Linked DNA regions of Arabidopsis thaliana. The protein of the gene in region 1 purifies or fractionates together with the protein of each later gene. This does not show direct contact. Each region holds a gene or a part of one and is shown in the gene's direction. Other genes may lie near its edges. The genes, in order: SUS2, MAC3A, AT2G31610 and AT2G42270.

What was found.
Region 2: the proteins of SUS2 (region 1) and MAC3A purify together in Arabidopsis thaliana (affinity purification with mass spectrometry; 2 studies listed by BioGRID, with this or other methods). This does not show direct contact.
Region 3: the proteins of SUS2 (region 1) and AT2G31610 fractionate together in Arabidopsis thaliana (co-fractionation; one large-scale study listed by BioGRID). This does not show direct contact.
Region 4: the proteins of SUS2 (region 1) and AT2G42270 fractionate together in Arabidopsis thaliana (co-fractionation; one large-scale study listed by BioGRID). This does not show direct contact.

The regions. Positions count from the first base shown.
Region 1 is NC_003070.9:30,115,839-30,120,847, forward strand, and holds the start of SUS2 (Pre-mRNA-processing-splicing factor), read left to right. Parts: upstream 1-2,008; 5' UTR 2,009-2,213; coding exon 2,214-2,497; intron 2,498-2,632; coding exon 2,633-2,756; intron 2,757-2,829; coding exon 2,830-2,922; intron 2,923-3,013; coding exon 3,014-3,404; intron 3,405-3,489; coding exon 3,490-3,970; intron 3,971-4,066; coding exon 4,067-4,857; intron 4,858-4,939; coding exon 4,940-5,009. Other genes in the region: AT1G80060 (Ubiquitin-like superfamily protein), read right to left, coding at 464-716, 791-873, 967-1,066, 1,145-1,244, 1,491-1,686. UniProt on the Arabidopsis thaliana protein: Functions as a scaffold that mediates the ordered assembly of spliceosomal proteins and snRNAs. Required for the assembly of the U4/U6-U5 tri-snRNP complex. Required for embryo development.
Region 2 is NC_003070.9:1,224,906-1,231,467, forward strand, and holds MAC3A (MOS4-associated complex 3A), read left to right. Parts: upstream 1-1,577; 5' UTR 1,578-1,843; coding exon 1,844-1,856; intron 1,857-1,946; coding exon 1,947-2,032; intron 2,033-2,181; coding exon 2,182-2,253; intron 2,254-2,341; coding exon 2,342-2,404; intron 2,405-2,674; coding exon 2,675-2,761; intron 2,762-2,910; coding exon 2,911-3,052; intron 3,053-3,140; coding exon 3,141-3,262; intron 3,263-3,425; coding exon 3,426-3,542; intron 3,543-3,800; coding exon 3,801-3,896; intron 3,897-3,991; coding exon 3,992-4,051; intron 4,052-4,148; coding exon 4,149-4,223; intron 4,224-4,327; coding exon 4,328-4,432; intron 4,433-4,598; coding exon 4,599-4,718; intron 4,719-4,811; coding exon 4,812-4,889; intron 4,890-4,987; coding exon 4,988-5,072; intron 5,073-5,159; coding exon 5,160-5,211; intron 5,212-5,397; coding exon 5,398-5,468; coding exon of another isoform or gene 5,469-5,474; intron 5,475-5,559; coding exon 5,560-5,687; 3' UTR 5,688-6,042; downstream 6,043-6,562.
Region 3 is NC_003071.7:13,448,601-13,452,491, forward strand, and holds AT2G31610 (Ribosomal protein S3 family protein), read left to right. Parts: upstream 1-1,640; 5' UTR 1,641-1,783; coding exon 1,784-1,813; intron 1,814-1,896; coding exon 1,897-2,044; intron 2,045-2,124; coding exon 2,125-2,296; intron 2,297-2,577; coding exon 2,578-2,764; intron 2,765-2,853; coding exon 2,854-3,069; 3' UTR 3,070-3,382; downstream 3,383-3,891. Other genes in the region: AT2G31600 (INO80 complex subunit D-like protein), read right to left, coding at 1-205, 843-1,483; AT2G31620 (Receptor-like protein kinase-related family protein), read right to left, coding at 3,391-3,837.
Region 4 is NC_003071.7:17,602,393-17,610,341, forward strand, and holds the start of AT2G42270 (U5 small nuclear ribonucleoprotein helicase), read left to right. Parts: upstream 1-1,937; coding exon 1,938-7,949. Other genes in the region: UVI4 (uv-b-insensitive 4), read right to left, coding at 1-237, 502-891. UniProt on the Arabidopsis thaliana protein: RNA helicase that plays an essential role in pre-mRNA splicing as component of the U5 snRNP and U4/U6-U5 tri-snRNP complexes. Involved in spliceosome assembly, activation and disassembly.

The DNA.
Region 1 (5,009 bases):
ATGACAACGATAGACAGTTTTTACTTTTTAATAAAACAGAGGCAAGAAGATGAGCATATGCTAGTGGTGGGGCGTGTCATTCTTAGATTCTCGGGTGGAACATAGGTTTGACCAGCAAAATGGTGAGGCCAATTATTGGGCTCAGTAGGTTGGTATGGGTTTAACCATTTTCAGCCTATATAAGGTTTACCTTGCCATATTACTTCAAAATTATTCAAAATCAACACAAATACTCAATCCATTCTTGTTTTATCACAAATCAGATGATCTTACTACTGTGTTCTAGGCTGAATTTATGCGAATAAAAATGTACCTTCCTTCAGCTTTCACAATGCATGAAGATAGATATGAAATTTGTAAAACTATGGATCTTTTGATACAATCCTGGACAACAAATTCATAAACCAATAATCATTGGAAGAGATTAAAAAGGGGACATAGGAAGAGGTTGTGACTTACGGATTTACATCTTGGGTCTGCCACCGAAATGCTTCAAAGAAAATCTGGAGGGACCACTGCGACACTCGGGTCCTTTTCTGGAAACTCCCCAACGTCCAGCATATGGCAACCATCCTTTAATTAAGTTAACTAGTCTGGATTCTGCTGCCGGTAACTCGTCTTGTGCTCCTGGATAACACTTCTCAGCTACATCATCCACACCGTTCTGGTTTTGGTTTTGTATTTGGATTTCGTTGACAATGGATGACACATCCAACCTACCATACAAGGATTCTTTAGCAGAGCATTGAAATGCAGAGACGATATAGGAAGATTGTTACAAAGTACTTACTCGAGGTACCGCTTGCAACTCGGGCTCTTGGATCTTTTGTTCATAGGAGAGTGGTCTATCGACAAATGCCTTACGAAATGTAACTGAAATAGAGTGAAAGGGATGTTAAGACTTTCAAAGGAATGAGATTGCGTGCATACGATTCTTATATAGAAGTGAGAAGGAGTTTAACGAACTTGGTCTCCATCATTGAGACCGAGATAACGGATGCTAGTCTTGTCATTGACTAATCTCTGGTCTCGATAACACAAGCAAAAATGACCCCAGACGTGAGACCTGTAGGCAAAGATCAAAGTGAACGACTGTACCAGAAAGCTTAAGCTGTGAGAATTTTCATATGAAATGATGATATACCATGAAATCATGCCGTGACCTTCCAGAGGAGAAATGGTGAATACTTGTTCCACAGCTCTTTTGAGCTCTGCCACTGAGCAATCCTTTGCAACTTCCACATCTATTGATTCGTTGGAAACCATTTAACTTCTTGAGAGGCCAAATCAGAAACAGTAACCAAAAAACTAGTTGATACTTCATCCAAAATTATGTCTATTAAGGCTCTTAAACAATGATTTCTAACAGCAACAAAAAATTCCGGATTAGAGATCGATTAGGGTATCACCAACTGAGGGAACCGTTGAGCTTGATTGTAAACTAAACTCTTAAAATTGCTATTTCGGAAACTGGATAAGCAAAATCGTACCGAAAAGGGAGCCGTTGAGCTTAACGACGGAAAGCTTGATACGACCCTGAGGAGGAAGTTTCAGGTAGGAAGATCTCCGTCCAGAAATCGAACCACCGTCGTTTAAAGCAAACGATGACAAGAAGCGTGGATCTATCAACGACCTCAGTCCTCCACTTCGACGACCGTCCCTAACCGGACTATGCTCTTCTCGCATTGCCGATTCTCCCGGATTTTCACCGACAAGATTCTGCTCTCTTTGCTCTTCTTCTTCAGCCTTCAGGTGACTGTTGAGGAGCTGAGCGAGCGAGCGAGAGAATCGGGAGAGTTTGTTTTCCGGGGAAAAACCGCAATTACTGCTATATAGCTCCCCAATAAATGCCAAAACAAAAAATCAAATTAAAGTTTGTCAATGGGCATCACGGCCCAAATCTAATAATCAAAGGCCCAATAACTTGATTCGACAATACTTAGCGGGTTTGGATAACCGCCTAAGCATCTGTTCGACACCGCCTATTTTTTTTTTTTACTTACTCCTCCTGATCTGCTGATATAAGGCCGAACGGGAATAAAAAAAAAAAAAAAGGAAGAAGCGACTCACCCGAAAATGTTTTAGGGTTTTTCTTTACTCGATTAAGCTCACTAGTTCTTCGCAACGTAGTTAGAGATCGACACTGGCGCGGTGGATTTAGGGTTTTTTTCCTCCGCGACTACGCTCGGCGTTTCGATTTGGAACCCTAAGCTATGTGGAACAACAACGATGGTATGCCCTTAGCTCCTCCTGGTACTGGCGGGTCCATGATGCCGCCACCTCCCGCTGCTCATCCTTCTTACACGGCGCTTCCGCCGCCTTCTAATCCGACTCCTCCGGTCGAGCCTACTCCTGAGGAAGCGGAGGCTAAGCTTGAGGAGAAGGCCCGAAAATGGATGCAGCTAAATTCCAAACGGTACGGCGACAAGAGGAAGTTTGGATTCGTTGAAACTCAGAAGGAGGACATGCCACCTGAGCACGTCAGGAAGATCATCAGGCTAGTTTTCTTCTCTTCTTTCTCTACCATTTCGAAATACAGTTTACTTGATAATTATTTTCTGGCTAGGTTTCTAAGATTTGGTTAGGATTTACTTATTTTGAGACTGAAGCTGCGATTTCTTTCTTACTTCAGAGATCATGGTGATATGTCATCCAAGAAATTCCGTCACGACAAACGTGTATACCTTGGAGCCCTTAAATTCGTCCCTCACGCAGTTTTCAAGCTCTTGGAGAACATGCCTATGCCCTGGGAGCAGGTACATTTTTTTTCCTTTAGCTTCAGCTGTTTTCATCGTCTGTTCATTTATCTAAATCCTCATTTTCTTTCAGGTCCGAGATGTAAAAGTTTTGTACCACATCACCGGAGCTATTACATTTGTGAACGAGATACCATGGGTTGTGGAACCTATTTACATGGCTCAGGTTGGTGATTAGTCTTATCTCTTATTTACTGTCTCTGTGCGCTGATGGATTTTCAATAGCTTTTGATGGTTATTCCATTCTTGTTTTGCAGTGGGGTACTATGTGGATTATGATGCGAAGGGAGAAGAGGGATCGTCGTCATTTCAAGAGAATGCGGTTCCCACCTTTTGATGATGAGGAGCCTCCACTAGACTATGCAGACAACTTGCTGGACGTGGATCCTCTGGAGCCAATTCAATTGGAGCTAGATGAGGAAGAAGATTCTGCTGTCCACACTTGGTTTTACGACCACAAGCCACTCGTTAAAACAAAACTGATTAATGGTCCCAGTTACCGGAGGTGGAACCTCTCACTTCCAATCATGGCAACCCTTCACAGGCTTGCAGGCCAGTTGCTGTCTGATTTGATTGATCGCAACTACTTCTACTTATTTGACATGCCATCTTTCTTCACAGCAAAAGCTCTGAACATGTGCATACCTGGTACGCCATTTTCCTTCTATGCTCCAGTTTTTATATTTTTGCTGCGGGTCCATTGCTTTTAATGCATTCTCCTACTCTTTTCCAGGTGGACCCAAGTTTGAACCTTTGTACCGTGATATGGAGAAAGGGGATGAGGACTGGAATGAGTTTAATGACATCAACAAGCTCATTATTCGTTCCCCTCTGCGTACTGAGTACAGAATAGCTTTTCCCCATCTCTACAATAATCGGCCCAGGAAAGTAAAACTCTGTGTGTATCACAGTCCTATGATCATGTATATAAAGACCGAGGATCCCGATCTTCCTGCATTTTATTATGATCCGTTGATTCACCCAATAAGCAACACCAACAAGGAAAAACGTGAAAGGAAGGTTTATGATGATGAGGATGACTTCGCCTTACCAGAAGGTGTGGAACCTTTGCTAAGAGATACCCAACTCTACACTGACACTACAGCTGCTGGCATATCATTGTTGTTTGCCCCACGACCTTTCAATATGAGGTCTGGGAGGACGCGCCGCGCAGAAGATATTCCCTTGGTGTCAGAGTGGTTCAAAGAGCACTGGTAAGCTATTTGTTTTTATTCTACTTTGGTCCTCTTTACCGTTTTGAAATTTACTGGTGACCGTCCTAATACATATTGTGAACTCATTAACTGCAGTCCTCCAGCCTATCCGGTTAAAGTTCGGGTTAGTTACCAAAAGCTATTGAAGTGCTATGTGCTGAATGAGTTGCACCATAGACCGCCTAAAGCTCAGAAGAAGAAGCACTTGTTTCGATCTCTTGCAGCTACAAAGTTTTTCCAAAGTACCGAACTGGATTGGGTTGAAGTGGGTCTGCAAGTCTGTCGGCAGGGATATAATATGCTGAATCTGCTGATTCATAGGAAGAATTTAAACTACCTGCATCTTGACTACAACTTCAACCTCAAGCCTGTGAAAACTTTGACCACCAAAGAGCGAAAGAAGTCACGTTTTGGGAACGCTTTCCATCTGTGCCGTGAGATCCTCCGCCTGACAAAACTTGTAGTTGATGCAAATGTCCAATTCCGACTTGGTAATGTCGATGCCTTCCAATTGGCTGATGGTCTGCAGTATATTTTCTCTCATGTTGGCCAGTTGACGGGTATGTATCGTTATAAATACAGACTGATGAGGCAGATTCGGATGTGCAAGGATTTAAAGCACTTGATATATTACCGTTTCAATACTGGTCCGGTGGGTAAGGGTCCAGGGTGTGGATTTTGGGCTCCAATGTGGAGGGTATGGTTGTTTTTCCTTCGGGGTATAGTTCCTCTTCTTGAAAGATGGTTAGGGAATCTTCTTGCTCGTCAATTTGAGGGGCGTCATTCAAAAGGAGTGGCCAAAACAGTCACAAAGCAGAGAGTTGAAAGCCATTTTGATCTGGAGCTTCGGGCTGCTGTCATGCATGACGTCCTTGATGCTATGCCAGGTTTCCATTTTTACAAACTTGTTTATCAACGATGAAATTGCTTTGCTTTATTCTTTGGTTAACATTTTCTGATAATGTGCAGAGGGTATCAAGCAAAATAAAGCGCGGACTATATTGCAGCACCTTAGTGAGGCATGGCGGTGCTGGAAAGC
Region 2 (6,562 bases), about 29 Mb from region 1:
GGAAAAGAAGAGAAGGAGAAAAAGAGACCAGGTCAGTGAAAATTTTGAAAATAAGAGATAAAGATCGTACTAAGTCAAATGTATTTATTTTATGGAAATTTCGAGGGGAAAAAAAATGTTACGTGATGCTTAGTTAAATTCGGAAACTACAAATTTCATATCAAGATGGTTTCTCTCGATAAAAATTCGTTACAGTGATAGTTTTAGCATACCATGCTTCGAGTTGTCGTTTTCTATATATGTTGTTTTCCTTACAACCATAACCAAATAATGAACTGATCATACAAATGAAAAGATACTTTTATAGATCGGAATATATATCGACTTAGATAACGTAAATAAAGGTACACCAATGTGATTTATAGATTATATAGTCATCAACACCATATATGAAACTTTAACAAAAAAACACCATATATGAAACTACAATTTTTTACGAACATGGTCTTACCTTTATTTTATCTTTTTTTTTCGTATAAAGAATTCCCAAACTATGAAAAAATGTCAGCTAGGTGAATAATCTAACTTTCATGGACTATTACTCAGCTAAGTTCAAAATATCCCTTCACTTCAAAACTTCTAAAAACAACTTTCATTGACTATACGCATTAATTAATTACTATTGTAATTACGACGATTTTTTTTTCGTTCTCCTCTAGCTTTTTTTAGTTTATTTGTTTTGGTCATGGTTGGGAACGGGACATCATCACATCACTTATCAACATTCTATTTGGTCCCCAACTCTATGAAGCATTATTTGAAATCATTAGCATGACTATCTAAGTTTTTTTTCTCCTGATATTTATCCAAAATTTTATTTCATTCAAATTGTTTAACAATATGTACATATACTATATGTATTATATAAAATACATATCACCACTCAGGCAATTTTTTAAACTTATATACAGTATGTGATAAAATAAACATGGTCATACGTTTAAGAATTGGAAATTAATGAGGTTGCAAGAAATCATTTAACGAGAACAGAATGAAGAGAAAGAAAAAAATAGCAACTTGGTGGCAAAAGGAAAAAGAAACAGCTTGAGATCAAAGCTGATTTGATGAATCGATACTTTGGAGATATATATGAGCATCTTCGGCAAAAGCTTTGGCCTTTGAGTGCAGTGTTACACACACGCATTTTCCAAACGAGATGATTTAAGTTTTGCAGAGCTATCACAAATATATTATAATACCAAACTCTCAGACAATATTATATAAATCGGAAGTCTAATTTTTTTTAATAAAAAATGAAAATATAGTATGACCAATGATTTGTTCATATAAGGTTCTTTTTTCGGCTATGTTAATTGTTGAGAAATGAGAATACTAAATATGCTTTTTATGAGAATACTACTTTTCGGCTATGACTAATTTTTGTTCATAAAGAACACATCTATCGTACGTGCAAATAGAATGGCCCGTACATCGTTGTCCTACCTTATACTTTAAAAGAATTTGTAATCAGAAAAAATAAAAGAAAAGAATGACAAAAAAAAGGGTAAGAATTATACTTTCGAGTTTCTTTTCTCAGACAGAAAGAATGAACGAACATACATAGTTTAACTAATGGGCTTCAGAAAAAAGCCTAATTAGTTATAAATCAAGGTCTCGTTAAAAGGCCCATTTGTTTAACAAGAAATCTCTAACTTGTTGTCCTAAGCTTAAACAATTTTTGCATCTCTCTCTCTTTCCGTCTTCATCGTCCTCCCGGCTTCTGCGATTTTGTTTAGTAGCGCCGGACCGGAGTAGTTAAAACCCTAGCCCAGTCTATTTAAAGATTCACCGAGTAGTCTTCTAGTCCTGCGTATACTTCTTCTTCTTCGTTTATACTTAGAAGATGAATTGTGCAAGTAAGGCACTCTTTCTTCTCTATTTACCGATTTAGGGTTTTATTTTGCTTTGTTTCTGTCGGTAACACTGTGGTCTTTTCTCCTCTACAGTTTCCGGCGAAGTTCCGGAGGAGCCTGTGGTTTCTAAGAAGTCGGGTTTGCTTTACGAGAAGCGGCTAATCCAGACGCATATATCCGTAAGCAAGTTCTTTTCTTTTCTCCCTCGTTCGACTCTTATCTAGGGTTTTCAGCTGTTTAGCCTCTTGCACCTCTCTATTTGCTGCAGATATTTTCTTAATACAGACTTTGTTGTGATAATTTATAGATTGCTTTTGGTACCTTGTAGGATTATGGGAAATGCCCGGTTACTGGTGAGCCACATACTCTTGATGACATTGTTCCCATCAAAACTGGGAAGGTAATGCAACCACTGGAGTTATTTGTCACACAGCATTGTTTGTAGAAACTTATTTAAGCCTGATTCGATCTCCGGGACCATTTTGCAGATCGTAAAGCCGAAACCATTACACACAGCTAGCATCCCTGGATTGCTTGGAACGTTTCAGACTGTAAGTTCTTATTTTGTATTCCCTATACCTTCTTTTTCGTTTCTGAATTTTGTTCTCTGTCTATTAAGGATCATATAGAGTTAAAATGGATGAACTTGATTTGGGTATGCATCGCTATCTGAGTTATTTAACATAGCAGATTGCATTCTACTCTTTACATTGAATTATATGTTCATTTGTTACTAATAGCAAGACGAAAGTGTTCGCTGGTTATTTTTACTTTAGGCAAAAGAAATGCTTAAAAAGTTTATCTGTTTGTTGTGCTTGTAGGAATGGGACAGTTTGATGCTATCAAATTTTGCTTTGGAACAACAACTGCATACTGCGAGGCAAGAGCTAAGTCACGCTTTGTATCAGGTAATTATGGTTAGGTGCATTTGCCACCACCTTATCAGACTACATGAATTACAAATATCTATTATGTATTCTAGTTTCTTTTCCTGGATGTTTCCATTTATTTCTTGTGATAAAAGGTGATTGATGGGGGATACACTTTTCCTTTGCAGCATGATGCTGCTTGTCGTGTGATTGCTAGGCTTAAAAAAGAAAGAGACGAATCACGACAATTGCTTGCAGAGGCTGAAAGGCAGTTGCCTGCAGCCCCCGAAGTTGCCACATCGAATGCTGCTCTTAGTAATGGTAAACGAGGTATGCTTGCACGTTTGCTTCTCAATGTAAGTTGGCTATGTGGTAATTTCTCTTATAACAAGCTACTATGTTTTTGGTTGCAATATAGGTATCGATGATGGTGAGCAGGGGCCTAATGCAAAGAAAATGCGTCTTGGAATTTCGGCTGAAGTTATCACAGAACTCACAGATTGTAATGCTGCTCTTTCTCAGCAGCGTAAAAAGAGACAGGTAACTGCATATATCAGTATATTAGTGGAAATAGAAGGCAAAAGAGAATTACATATATATATAGTTTGTCTGTAACATACAATGGATATCTGCACTTTTGGAGTTCAATTAGATTTGCGAGTGGTTCTTCTGTCTTAATAATTTCTCCTCATTGGTTCTCTAGATCCCTAAAACATTGGCTTCAGTCGATGCTCTGGAGAAGTTCACCCAACTCTCAAGCCACCCCCTTCACAAGACCAACAAACCTGGAATTTTTTCAATGGACATCCTACATTCTAAGGTTTGACACCTAAGAACTTCTCTATTTTCCATTCATCACTTTATGTAGTTTTTCTCTGTCCTGAGAAGTCACTGCATTGAACGTCATAGTGACATGTTTACTTTTGCGCTTACATTATATTGTACACTGCCATGAATCCCCATCTGGATGCTTATCAATATTATTCTTCAGTATATAGATTTTGTACACTACCATGAATCCCTGTGTCTGTTCTCTATTTAGTATTATTCTTAATTTCTCGTTATATGTGGTAATCAGGATGTCATCGCTACGGGAGGAATTGATACAACTGCCGTTCTCTTTGATCGTCCTTCAGGACAAATCTTATCAACGCTGACTGGTCACTCAAAGAAGGTCTGTCTTTTACTGTATTCTTTTTTTATATTTCATTTTCTTTTTTAACTTTTCCTTTGTAGTTTTGTGCTTGACATGCATTGTTCCTTTTGCAGGTTACAAGCATCAAGTTCGTTGGTGACACTGATCTTGTGTTAACTGCTTCATCCGACAAGGTAAGCTAAGGTTATGTGTACAAGCTCCTTTGAGGATTGCATGATTTTATGGAGTAGTAGTGAAGAGATTAACTTCTCATTTCTTAACACTCTGCAGACAGTCCGCATCTGGGGATGTTCCGAGGATGGGAACTATACCTCTAGACATACACTGAAAGATCATTCTGCCGAGGTAAGGATGTAACTGAAGAACTTCTACAGGCTACAGTCTCATACAGTTTTACGTTTTATTTATTTTTGGTCTGTTTAACGTAAAAGCAATGATGTGGTTTTCAGGTGCGAGCTGTAACTGTCCACGCAACGAATAAATACTTTGTGTCAGCATCACTTGACAGTACATGGTGCTTCTATGATCTGTCCTCCGGTTTATGCCTTGCTCAGGTCTCCAAAATTTTAATCCACACCTGATACCTGTTATCCAGTTTCAGATTTCTTCTTTTATGCTAATATAACAATGAAACATTTACCTTCTTTATTGTAATGTGAATTAGACTCGTTAGAATAAATGTTTCTGCCATGCGTCTTTCTCATTATTGTTGTTATTCAGGTGACAGATGCTTCCGAAAACGACGTGAATTACACGGCTGCTGCTTTTCATCCTGATGGTCTCATTCTTGGAACTGGTACCGCTCAATCTATTGTTAAGATTTGGGATGTAAAAAGTCAGGTAAAAACTCTTTGACCTTCCTTGCTCATCAACTGTTGTCACTTGTAAGTTTGTTCTCACTTCACTCTCATCTCTATCTCTGTCGTTTGATAGGCAAATGTGGCAAAGTTTGGTGGACACAATGGAGAAATCACCTCTATATCATTCTCTGAAAACGGTTATTTCCTTGCGGTGGGTACATTGACTGATTGACCTAAACTAAGTAGAAAGAAGGATAGCACCAGGTTCCTTTTGACTGACCAATATTTACTATTCTTTAAATTGTACAGACTGCTGCACTGGATGGTGTTAGGTTGTGGGACTTGCGCAAGTTAAAGAACTTCCGAACCTTTGACTTTCCAGATGCAAACTCGGGTATTCAACTACCTGAGCACTCTTACTAGTCTATTTTGTTGAGTGAGTTTTCATTTCTTAAGGCCTGAATGAGCTTTTTTTGTGCAGTGGAGTTTGACCATAGCGGATCTTATCTTGGCATTGCTGCTTCAGATATAAGGTGAGGTCTACTTTGATACACAATGTTGGGAATTAATTGATATAGGAGCTCACTTTGATAACGAGATATTGAAAGATAGTTGTGCAAACTCAATTAACCTGCTATCACCAGAAATGCAGTTTGGGTATATGTATACGTTTCTTCTGCAAATCATACTAATCGAAAACTTGTGCTTCAATGTTGTAGAGTATTCCAAGCAGCTAGTGTAAAAGCAGAATGGAACCCAATCAAGACTCTTCCCGATCTGTCCGGTACAGGTAAATGCTACATGTTAAGCTTTTGAAGTCACTGCTCTTCCTTGTTTTATTGAGTCTATCATTCAGACATTGTAACTACATAAATGTGCAGGTAAAGCAACAAGTGTTAAGTTTGGACTCGACTCCAAATACATAGCAGTCGGTTCAATGGACCGTAATCTCAGGATATTTGGTTTACCTGATGATGACAATACTGAAGATTCAGCACAAGATTCATGAAGAGATATCTCAAAAGTCTCATCATCAAGAGTAGCTATATCCTCAATTCTCGCGATTTTTGTTGTATCTTTACAGTTCTGTTGGTACTTTCCTGATGGCCCCTCTCACAATCACATATACACACCTGAGCTCTCTCCCTTTCTTTCTCAGTCAACAATTTTCCTGTAACAACATCGTACCTTAAGGATCTGCAGTTGATCTTTCTCTCTTTGATCTGAAAGAGTCCACATAAAACAAAGTTAGCTGCTCACTATAAAAGCAAATGAAGAACAGGCATGTAAATGATCTTCTTCATCATTCAAATCAGTAGGACCTAAACGGCAACAATTAAAAAACTTGTGTTATATAGAAAGGGTCATGAATCTTGAAGACAATGAAATGAAGACAAAAAGATTGTGATGGTGGTCATAGAAATTAGAAAACCCTGAGACAGACAGAGATTTTGACTGTACTGTGGTCAAAACACACACTTCACAATCTTCCCATTCCCCCACCAATCTCAGATTCCTTTTCACTTCCTCCAACTCTTTCTCTCTCTCTGGCCTTTTTTTTTTTTTTTTTTCCTATTTATAGCTCATCTTTAGTAATTCCGTTATTGGTTAAATTTCCTAAACATGTTTTTGGTATCAACAATCAAGTAAGTGCAAGAAAGTTTGTATCTTTCTCTAAACCCAATTTCCAAAGTAACCAACTACTAAACCAGAATGTTACACAAAGTAAGTCACTAAATGACTTTAAAAACAAGATTAGACTTTAAACTAGATTAGAGACATACTTATTTGGAATAAGATTCAAAGGTCACTAGTAGCTAGTAGGTGGTAAAAAGGAAGCTAAACAACAAATAAACTCTTATTAAAATCTTTCAATCAATAAAT
Region 3 (3,891 bases), on another chromosome or scaffold:
TCGTTTCGCTTGAATATGATGCACAAACGCAGCTACTATAACATGGAGCTTTGGGGGAGGCTTGCTTGTTGAAGAGACATTATGACCAGCATCCTTTAAAGCTTTAGCCACATGCTTTTGGGCTTTCTGGAAGTGTATATTACACAGTGCAGGAACAGTCGACGCAAGTGTTGGTTTTCCACAAAGTAATGGTCCTGCTGGGGCTCTGAATGTACAATGGAAACAATGCAGAGTTAGGTGAGAATTGCTTAAATTATCATTATATGCTAATTACAAACCAGCATACAAACTTACCTATATATGAAATCTAGGTTGTAAAAACTCAAATCTGAAACTTGGTTTATGTTTTAATACTACCACAATGGGACTATTCTAACACAAATACATTTTCAAAGGGTGATATAGTTATGCTAATACTCATATCCTGACTATTTTACAAATACACATCAAAACAGACAACTTCAAGCATCTGCGTCAGTTATGTGTATCAACCAGAACAACAAAGCACATAGAGCAATATTTTAACACAAGGCAACTACTGAATCTATAAATGATTACCGACGATCACTATCTCGATGTCCAAAGCTAAGACTTCTCCCAAACCCTATGAAAAACTTTGAAAAAAAGTCAAGTGTCAATCCCAAATCCTTTCTGCAAACTTGAAAAAAAAAGAGAAACAATCTCTTGGCTCACTACATAACACAAAACAGCTTTGCAGTTTCAATTCATCATCACTACAACATCTTCACCAACTATAATATGCAAAGAACACAACTTGAAGCATCAATTACTTTGGTTTATACGAGAATTTTAAAACCAAATAAAGGGAAAGTGAAACAAACCGTTTAATGACGTTTGTGCAACCAGTGTAGAGCTTCTGCTTACTATCCTTGAGAATATGCAATTGACAGTATTTCGTAAGCGCCATAGCTTTAGCTTTGCATCCATACATACAACTCCCACAATTACTATTCGCATACTGATCACTCTTAACACCATCATTGTTAGTAACATTGTCTCCACTACCTTCAACAGCATCACCACCATCTCCGATATCTCCCTCTTGACCAAGCCTCCGTCTCTTATTCGATTGATTATTTTCGTCTTTAAACTGACTAATCCCATACTTCCACCAATAATCCCTGTGTTGTGCCTTGACATCCTCCATTAAAGCCCAATAATTGTCTCTATAACACTTGGCCAGCTGCTTCAGGTTGTGTGATCGGCGTTTGAGAAGCTCCGACCGGGTTATGTGACTGGAGCGTGCGAGGATTTCATCTTCTTGTGACATCGTAATCGGTGAATTCGATGTCGACGGTAAGCCGCTGGTGCTAGGGTTAGGATTTAAGGTAGAGTTTCGAATTAGGGGCTCGGCTGAGGTGGAAGCCACTGCGGTTGTTGATGCAGCGCCGGAGGAATACGGAGGCCGTGGTGGTTTCGAGGAGAAAGGGTTTTGCTGAATGTTCTTGGAAGCTGACGCCATTGCCGTCGTCGGAAAATGACAGAGCTTCAAAATCAGATGTTCTTGTCGGGAATGAAATTATTAATTTTTAAAAAATAATATTAGTACTTAAATTTTAAAATATATTAAAGCCCATAAAATGTCCATTGGGCTGACATATTCAACAAATAGGCCCAAACTCAATTGGATGTGAGACCTAAGTTTCTGAATTAGGTCAATATAAATACTAAAATCATATCTGATAACGAACACGAGCTTACCGATTCTCTTCGTCTCAACATTTAGGGTTTCAGAGATCGGCTGATTTTCACATCCACAAGTATGGCGACTCAAATCAGCAAGAAGAGAAAGGTGAATTGTGATTTCATTTTTTGTTTTCAGTGGACTTCTCTAGCTGTATCGTATTGGAACTGATCTGGTTACTGTGTTTGTAGTTTGTAGCGGATGGTGTATTCTACGCTGAATTGAATGAGGTTCTCACAAGAGAGCTAGCAGAGGATGGTTACTCTGGTGTTGAGGTTAGGGTTACTCCAATGAGGACTGAGATTATCATCAGAGCTACTCGTACTCAGAATGTTCTTGGTATGTTTGTTTGATCATTTCTTCTCTCTTTCGATTTTGAATGTGTTTCGAGATCTGATATCGAAAATGTTGGGTTTTAGGTGAGAAGGGGAGGAGAATTAGGGAATTGACATCTCTTGTCCAGAAGAGATTCAAGTTTCCAGTTGACAGTGTTGAGCTCTATGCTGAGAAGGTTAACAACAGAGGTCTCTGTGCCATTGCTCAGGCTGAGTCTCTACGTTACAAGCTTCTCGGTGGTCTTGCTGTTCGCAGGTACGACATTTCTCTAGTATGTTTTTGTGTATTCTCTCTCAATTGCTGTTGTTATTGTTTAGCTTACTTGGTCCTAATAGTGAAATGTATAGGATACAACTGTAATTATATTTCTCAGTGGGGTTTCTGTAAATGCGCACTCTTTATAGATTTTGTGTAATAGTTATGTTTCTATCTACTGAACACACTGATGATACATAATGTGTCGACAAGGCTATTGCATCTCTTTTTTCACTTGAACTTCTCATCCTTAATATTGCAATGGTATATTTGATATACAGGGCCTGTTATGGTGTTTTGAGATTTGTTATGGAGAGTGGAGCTAAGGGATGTGAGGTCATCGTGAGTGGAAAGCTCCGTGCTGCACGTGCTAAGTCCATGAAGTTCAAGGATGGTTACATGGTTTCATCTGGTCAACCAACTAAGGAATACATCGATGCTGCAGTGAGACATGTTTTGCTCAGACAGGTATGCTTTCTAATGAGTCTCTTATCTACCATTTAGTGAGTAAGTATACCGGCTTTGTCTAATCTTGTTGGTTCAATCCGTATTTGCAGGGGGTGTTGGGAATCAAGGTGAAGATCATGCTTGACTGGGACCCTACGGGCAAATCAGGACCAAAGACACCATTGCCTGATGTTGTGATCATTCATGCTCCTAAAGATGATGTTGTCTACTCTGCACCTGCTCAGGCTGCTGCTCCAGTTACTCTTGTGCAAGAAGCTCCACTCACAACCGTAGATTACCCTGAGATGATTCCTCCAGTGGCCTAGAGAAGACCTTTTTTACTATTACTCCATGGGATTTTGTTCTTTTTGTTATAACTTTTCTACTTTTGACACTCTCTAGTCGTATCTCTTATATCCTCCAAGCAGACAAGTTTTTTCTCATGTTGTTTCTTAACCTATGTCAAGTTTTCTGGAGGTTGAATGCTTTTAGTTCCATGATTTTTTTGTTCTTAAGACTCGTAATAAGAAAAAGAATGACGACAACAATGCCTGGTATTTGATGTTGTTACTTTGAATTATCATTTTGCTCAGAACACTTTATTCGAAAATAACAAAAACTAAAATGTTTGGAGCTCTCATTATCTTTTACGGTTTTACAAAAGGATAGAGCTCGTACCTAAAAGTACAACTCGGATTCAAAACTCTTCCTCCTTGTTTACCGTTGCAGCATCTGGGAAGCTTTGCAATAATCGAATCCAAACACACACTGCAATTTTTAACTGATAAGTCTTGTGTACACTGCATCATCCCATACAATTTCGTCGTCCCGAGACTTTCCTCCCCCGCTGCATACATGTAGTCTCTTGTGTAAGGCTCTTGTTCTTTACGAATTGCTTTCTCCTTGAGCTTATCTAGGAGAGCCTTTGTGTTCTTGTTGAACAACTTTTTATTGCCGCTCACATCTTTGGCATTGTGCAAATACAAATAGTGCTTGAAATCAATCTTCTCGTAGGTATATATCTCGGAAATGTAGAGAAAACAGTTGTCGTACCATATTATTCTCCCTCTGTTGTTCGGACATCTCCTAAGAATCTGTCACATATTTACAATATATATAAATATGTTGGGACATATTTCCTAAGAAAT
Region 4 (7,949 bases), on another chromosome or scaffold:
TTCCCCTGTGTTTTCTCTTGTGATGTCGAGCAAAATCTGATGGACTTTAGCAGTTGAGGGTGGCCAAGGACGCTTGAATCCAATAGATGGACCGGGAGTAACCATAGAATAGTCGTGCTCGAGATGAGCACCTGACAACGGTACTAGAGAATCAAGAACCCCAAGTTGTTGTGGAGTTGGGGTCTCAATATCTCGGCCAACACCTTCTCCCATACGAGCTCTCCTTCTCTCAATAGCCTGCATATAAGAGTTTGTAAATAGCCAGACTAAGCAAGCCTTTTGGTAACAGGTTATGACTTATGATATAGTTAACAAAGAGGCTAAGCAAGCCTGTTACAGAAGACTAATCTAGCTTATAAGCAGCAGATTCTGAACCAATATGCAAATCACAAACCAGATATAAACAGATCACAAATTAGCTATATATCAATGAAAAAAACTCCAGTTAAATCTAAGAATAAGCAGACAAATCCAAAATGAGACTAGGTTTAGTGAACTAACCCTAACAACGGCAGAAATATCACGGAGGGGCGTTCTTGGATACCAAGAAGGTAAGACAGAATTTGAAGCACGAGCCCTTCCACGCCTTGTAACACCCAAGCTCATGTTCTCTCGTCCCTGTGGCGATCTAAATTGAATTTGACCTCTTCTACCACCACCAGTCCGCCGAATACCGAAATTACCCCTCACAAGCCCACCTCTTCCCGTCATAGATCCTTGACCAATTGACCCAAGTCCTCCTGTAGCTTCCGATGGCACTCTCTGAACCGGAGACCCAAACAAATTGTGCTGTGTTGCTGGTTCGTCAAGTAAAATACCATGCGAGCGTCTATTGAGAAATGCGGCTGGGTAATCAACTTGCCTCTCTATTCGATCTCGTGCTTCTGGCATTTGTGATTGAGCGCTGAAGAAATCAAACAACTATGCCATTAGAACACACCCAAAATCGAAATCGCAACATTAAAACCCAAGAACTCAGTCTTGTTCTCCATTGTTAATCAGATTTTCTCGAAACCTCATAAACAACAAGAAAAAGAGATCAACTCTTCGTTTTCGCAACAAATCTCCGTCACATCACAAAGAACCTACTTGAACAAATCAAACCATGGATTTACCTATGAATCTTCAATAGATTCCTTCGTGATAGCTCGGAATGGCTTCGTGAACGGTAAAGTGGAGGGGACAAAGGAGAAAAAGAGAGAAAAGCTTTTGAGAGAGAGACGATCTGGCAAACAAAATTTAGACCATTTTCTAGGCGGGTTTTGTAATTGAAAATGAAAAATTTCGAGCTCGCACGTGTCAAAGTGGTTTCACCTGTGTGAAATATTTTGAATTTTTCATCTCACGCGGGATAAATTTCGTTTTTTTTCAAAGCGCACATTGTCACAATTCGTCAAATTCTTTGTCAGATTTCAATTTTGCCCTTCTGAATAAAACTGGGCTTGTGGCCCAATTCTATTTACGTACGCATTGCTTTCAAGATCGAATCCTCACCGTTAATTGTCATAGGATCCAACCGCTGCTTTTTACTAATACCAGAAAACCGGATTGGCTAGTTGGTACGGTCTAATGATACGATAACTTGCTCTGATTATACGAAAACACTCATCAAGAACCAACTCTAATTAATGTTTTCTTCTAATTATAGTTAAAACGGATTGAACCGGACAATTCCATAATTTTAGTCGGCTTCCGGACAGGCCTTCGTGGGTTTGGAATTTGTGGCCGACAATGTATTGTCGGTTTAAGACTTGTTTAGGGTGTATATATAAGACTGTTGAACGAAAAAAAAAAAAAACTCATCGACTCGATCAAATTCTTAAGACGACGATTACGGAGAACGGGAGAGAGGTAATAGAAGAGTTTTTCGTTCCGAATTTTGTTTTGTTTCATTGATTTAATTCTTGGAATTTGGGGTTTGTTTTTCCGATTTGGTGATGACGAATTTGGGTGGTGGTGGTGCGGAGGAGCAAGCCAGGTTGAAGCAGTATGGGTACAAAGTCAATTCCAGTCTTGTTCTTAACAGTGATGAGCGTCGTCGTGATACGCATGAATCTTCTGGTGAACCGGAGAGTCTCAGGGGTAGGATTGATCCGAAATCCTTTGGAGATCGTGTCGTTAGGGGAAGGCCTCATGAGTTAGATGAGCGGCTTAATAAATCTAAGAAGAAGAAGGAACGTTGTGATGATTTGGTGTCTGCTCGTGAGAGCAAAAGAGTTCGTCTTAGGGAGGTGAGTGTACTTAATGATACGGAGGATGGTGTTTATCAGCCGAAGACTAAGGAAACAAGGGTTGCTTTTGAGATTATGCTTGGTCTTATCCAGCAGCAATTGGGTGGGCAGCCTTTGGACATTGTTTGCGGTGCGGCTGATGAGATTTTGGCAGTTCTTAAGAATGAATCCGTCAAAAACCATGAAAAGAAGGTAGAGATTGAGAAACTACTAAACGTTATTACTGATCAGGTTTTCAGTCAGTTTGTTTCGATTGGAAAACTGATTACAGACTATGAAGAGGGTGGTGATTCTTTAAGTGGTAAAGCTAGTGAGGATGGAGGACTTGATTATGATATTGGTGTTGCCCTTGAATGTGAAGAGGATGATGATGAGAGTGATCTTGATATGGTCCAGGATGAAAAAGATGAGGAGGATGAAGATGTTGTTGAGCTTAACAAAACTGGAGTTGTCCAGGTGGGTGTGGCAATAAACGGCGAGGATGCAAGACAGGCAAAGGAGGATACGAGTCTTAATGTTCTGGATATTGATGCTTATTGGCTTCAGAGAAAGATATCTCAAGAATATGAGCAGAAGATTGATGCACAAGAGTGCCAGGAACTCGCAGAAGAGCTGCTTAAGATACTTGCTGAGGGTAATGATAGGGATGTTGAGATCAAGCTGCTTGAGCACCTTCAGTTTGAAAAGTTCAGCCTTGTTAAATTTCTGTTGCAAAACCGTCTTAAAGTTGTGTGGTGCACCCGTTTGGCTAGGGGAAGAGACCAGGAAGAGAGGAATCAAATTGAGGAGGAGATGTTGGGGTTAGGTTCAGAGTTGGCAGCAATTGTTAAGGAGTTGCATGCCAAAAGAGCAACAGCCAAAGAAAGGGAGGAGAAACGGGAGAAAGATATCAAAGAAGAAGCTCAACATCTTATGGATGATGATTCTGGTGTTGACGGAGACAGAGGCATGAGAGATGTTGATGATTTAGATTTGGAGAATGGTTGGTTGAAGGGCCAGCGTCAGGTGATGGACCTGGAGAGCCTTGCTTTTAACCAAGGTGGTTTCACGAGGGAGAATAACAAGTGTGAGCTTCCTGATCGCTCTTTCAGAATACGTGGCAAGGAATTTGATGAGGTTCATGTGCCGTGGGTTTCTAAAAAGTTTGATAGTAATGAAAAGCTTGTGAAAATTAGCGATTTGCCAGAGTGGGCCCAACCAGCTTTTAGGGGAATGCAGCAGTTGAATAGGGTTCAGAGCAAAGTGTACGGCACTGCTCTTTTTAAGGCTGACAACATTCTTCTTTGTGCTCCAACTGGTGCTGGGAAGACCAATGTTGCCGTGCTCACCATACTGCACCAGCTTGGATTGAATATGAACCCTGGTGGAACGTTTAATCATGGTAATTACAAAATTGTCTATGTTGCACCAATGAAAGCCCTTGTTGCTGAGGTCGTGGATAGTCTATCTCAACGTTTGAAGGATTTTGGAGTTACTGTGAAGGAACTCAGTGGGGATCAGTCCCTTACTGGGCAAGAAATCAAAGAGACTCAGATAATTGTTACAACGCCAGAGAAGTGGGATATCATCACCAGGAAATCTGGAGATCGCACTTATACACAGCTTGTGAGGCTTCTTATAATCGACGAAATTCATCTTCTTGATGATAATCGAGGGCCTGTGCTTGAAAGTATTGTCGCTAGGACTCTTAGGCAGATTGAAAGCACAAAGGAGCATATTCGTCTGGTAGGTTTATCTGCAACACTGCCAAATTGTGACGATGTGGCTTCATTTTTGCGAGTGGATCTTAAAAATGGGTTGTTTATATTTGACCGTAGCTACAGACCTGTGCCTCTCGGTCAGCAGTATATAGGAATTAATGTGAAAAAGCCGTTACGGAGGTTCCAGTTGATGAATGATATATGTTATCAGAAAGTAGTGGCTGTTGCTGGAAAACACCAGGTCCTTATTTTTGTTCATTCGAGGAAGGAAACAGCAAAAACTGCAAGGGCAATACGGGACACAGCTATGGCAAATGATACCCTCAGCAGATTCTTGAAGGAAGATAGTCAAAGTCGTGAAATTCTTAAGTGTTTAGCTGGACTTCTCAAGAATAATGACCTGAAAGAGCTTCTGCCTTATGGTTTTGCAATTCATCATGCTGGGTTGACAAGGACTGATCGTGAGATAGTTGAGAATCAATTTCGCTGGGGGAATTTGCAAGTGTTGATTTCCACGGCAACTCTTGCCTGGGGTGTGAATTTGCCTGCACATACTGTCATTATCAAAGGAACCCAAGTATATAATCCTGAGAGAGGGGAGTGGATGGAGCTGAGTCCTTTAGATGTTATGCAGATGATTGGTCGTGCCGGAAGACCTCAATATGACCAACAAGGGGAGGGAATAATAATCACTGGATACAGCAAGCTACAGTATTATCTTCGTTTGATGAATGAGCAACTACCTATTGAAAGCCAGTTTATTTCCAAACTTGCTGATCAGCTCAATGCTGAAATTGTGCTTGGAACCATTCAGAATGCTAGAGAAGCTTGCCACTGGCTTGGCTATACATATTTATATGTCCGCATGGTTCGTAATCCGACACTGTATGGCGTATCGCCTGATGCCCTTGCAAAAGACTTGCTATTGGAGGAGAGAAGAGCTGATCTGATACATTCTGCTGCCACTATCTTGGACAAGAACAACCTGATTAAGTACGACAGGAAAAGTGGACACTTCCAGGTTACTGATTTGGGACGCATTGCTAGCTACTACTACATAAGCCATGGAACAATAGCTGCATACAATGAGAATCTGAAGCCAACAATGAATGATATAGAGCTTTGTCGTCTGTTCTCTCTGAGTGAGGAGTTCAAGTATGTCACTGTTCGACAAGATGAGAAGATGGAACTGGCAAAGCTTTTGGATCGTGTACCAATTCCGGTAAAGGAAACACTAGAAGATCCCAGTGCAAAGATCAACGTTTTGCTGCAAGTATATATTTCAAAGCTAAAGCTCGAGGGTCTTTCTTTGACATCTGACATGGTTTATATTACCCAAAGTGCTGGACGTTTGTTACGAGCTATTTTTGAGATTGTGTTGAAGAGGGGGTGGGCTCAACTGTCTCAGAAAGCTCTCAACTTGTCTAAAATGGTAGGGAAGAGGATGTGGAGTGTTCAGACACCCCTCTGGCAGTTTCCTGGAATTCCCAAGGAGATTCTGATGAAGTTGGAGAAAAACGATCTGGTGTGGGAGAGGTACTATGATCTATCTTCACAGGAGCTAGGAGAGCTTATTTGTAATCCTAAGATGGGCAGACCACTTCACAAGTATATCCATCAGTTCCCAAAACTGAAACTTGCAGCACATGTTCAGCCGATTTCTCGTTCTGTTCTGCAGGTTGAGCTCACGGTGACACCTGATTTCCACTGGGATGACAAAGCAAATAAATATGTTGAACCGTTTTGGATAATTGTGGAAGACAATGATGGTGAAAAGATCCTTCATCATGAGTACTTTCTTTTTAAAAAACGGGTTATTGATGAGGACCACACTTTGAACTTCACTGTACCAATCTCTGAGCCAATTCCCCCACAGTATTTCATCCGAGTGGTTTCAGACAAATGGCTTGACTCGCCGACTGTGTTACCTGTATCTTTCAGGCATCTTATTCTTCCAGAAAAATACCCACCACCTACAGAGCTACTGGATTTGCAGCCCCTCCCGGTGATGGCCCTAAGAAATCCTTCTTATGAAACTCTTTATCAGGATTTCAAGCATTTCAATCCAGTGCAGACTCAGGTCTTTACTGTTTTGTATAACACAAGTGACAATGTAGTGGTTGCTGCTCCAACAGGAAGTGGGAAGACTATATGTGCGGAGTTTGCTATATTAAGGAATCATCTCGAAGGACCTGATTCTGCAATGCGTGTTGTCTATATAGCACCTCTTGAGGCTATTGCCAAGGAGCAGTTTCGTGATTGGGAGAAAAAGTTCGGAAAGGGGCTTGGTTTACGGGTTGTTGAGTTAACTGGGGAGACATTATTGGATCTTAAGTTGCTTGAGAAAGGTCAGATAATCATAAGTACTCCTGAGAAATGGGACGCTCTGTCCCGGAGGTGGAAACAGAGAAAATATATCCAGCAGGTTAGTTTGTTTATCGTTGACGAGCTTCATTTAATTGGGGGTCAAGGTGGTCAAGTGTTGGAGGTAATTGTCTCTAGAATGAGATATATTTCAAGTCAGGTTGGGAATAAAATCAGGATTGTTGCATTATCAACTTCCCTTGCAAATGCCAAAGATCTTGGAGAGTGGATTGGGGCCAGTTCATGTGGCGTTTTTAACTTCCCGCCTAATGTTCGTCCTGTCCCACTGGAGATCCACATTCATGGGGTGGACATATTGAGTTTTGAAGCCAGGATGCAGGCGATGACTAAGCCAACATACACTGCCATAGTACAGCATGCCAAGAACAAGAAACCAGCTATCGTTTTTGTCCCGACCCGTAAACATGTCCGCCTTACTGCTGTGGATCTGATAGCATACTCGCACATGGACAACATGAAGAGCCCTGATTTCCTTTTAGGGAATCTGGAAGAATTAGAGCCTTTTTTAATACAAATTTGTGAGGAAACTCTGAAGGAGACTTTACGCCATGGCATTGGCTACCTGCACGAGGGTTTAAGCAATCTGGATCAGGAGATTGTGACTCAGCTTTTTGAAGCTGGACGGATTCAGGTATGTGTAATGTCTAGTTCATTGTGTTGGGGTACTCCATTGAAGGCACATTTGGTTGTTGTAATGGGAACACATTTCTACGATGGACGGGAAAATTCTCATTCGGATTACCCCATCTCTAATCTGCTCCAAATGATGGGGCGTGGTAGCCGACCTCTGCTTGACGACGCTGGGAAGTGTGTGATCTTCTGTCATGCACCACGTAAAGAGTATTACAAGAAATTTTTGTATGAAGCTCTTCCGGTTGAGAGTCATCTTCAACATTTCTTGCATGATAATTTCAATGCAGAAGTAGTTGCTAGAGTTATAGAGAACAAACAAGATGCTGTGGATTATCTTACCTGGAGCTTCATGTACAGGAGGCTTCCCCAGAACCCTAACTACTACAATCTCCTGGGAGTGAGCCACAGACATTTATCTGATCACCTCTCAGAGCTCGTTGAAAACACTTTGTCTGATCTTGAAGTGAGTAAATGCATTGAAATAGACAATGAGTTGGATCTCTCTCCTCTCAATCTTGGTATGATTGCGTCATATTACTACATAAATTACACCACCATTGAGCGATTCAGTTCTCTCTTGGCTTCCAAGACCAAGATGAAGGGTCTTCTTGAGATCTTGACTTCAGCTTCGGAGTATGACTTGATTCCTATACGTCCTGGTGAAGAGGACGCAGTTCGGAGACTCATCAATCACCAGAGGTTCTCTTTTCAAAACCCAAGATGCACAGACCCTCGTGTGAAGACAAGCGCACTTCTTCAGGCGCATTTCTCAAGGCAAAAAATCAGCGGGAACCTTGTAATGGATCAGTGTGAGGTCCTTTTATCAGCAACAAGGCTTCTTCAAGCAATGGTCGATGTGATATCGAGCAATGGCTGTCTGAATCTTGCTCTTTTAGCTATGGAAGTAAGCCAGATGGTGACTCAAGGCATGTGGGATCGAGACTCCATGCTTCTGCAGCTTCCTCACTTCACAAAGGACTTAGCCAAAAGGTGCCATGAG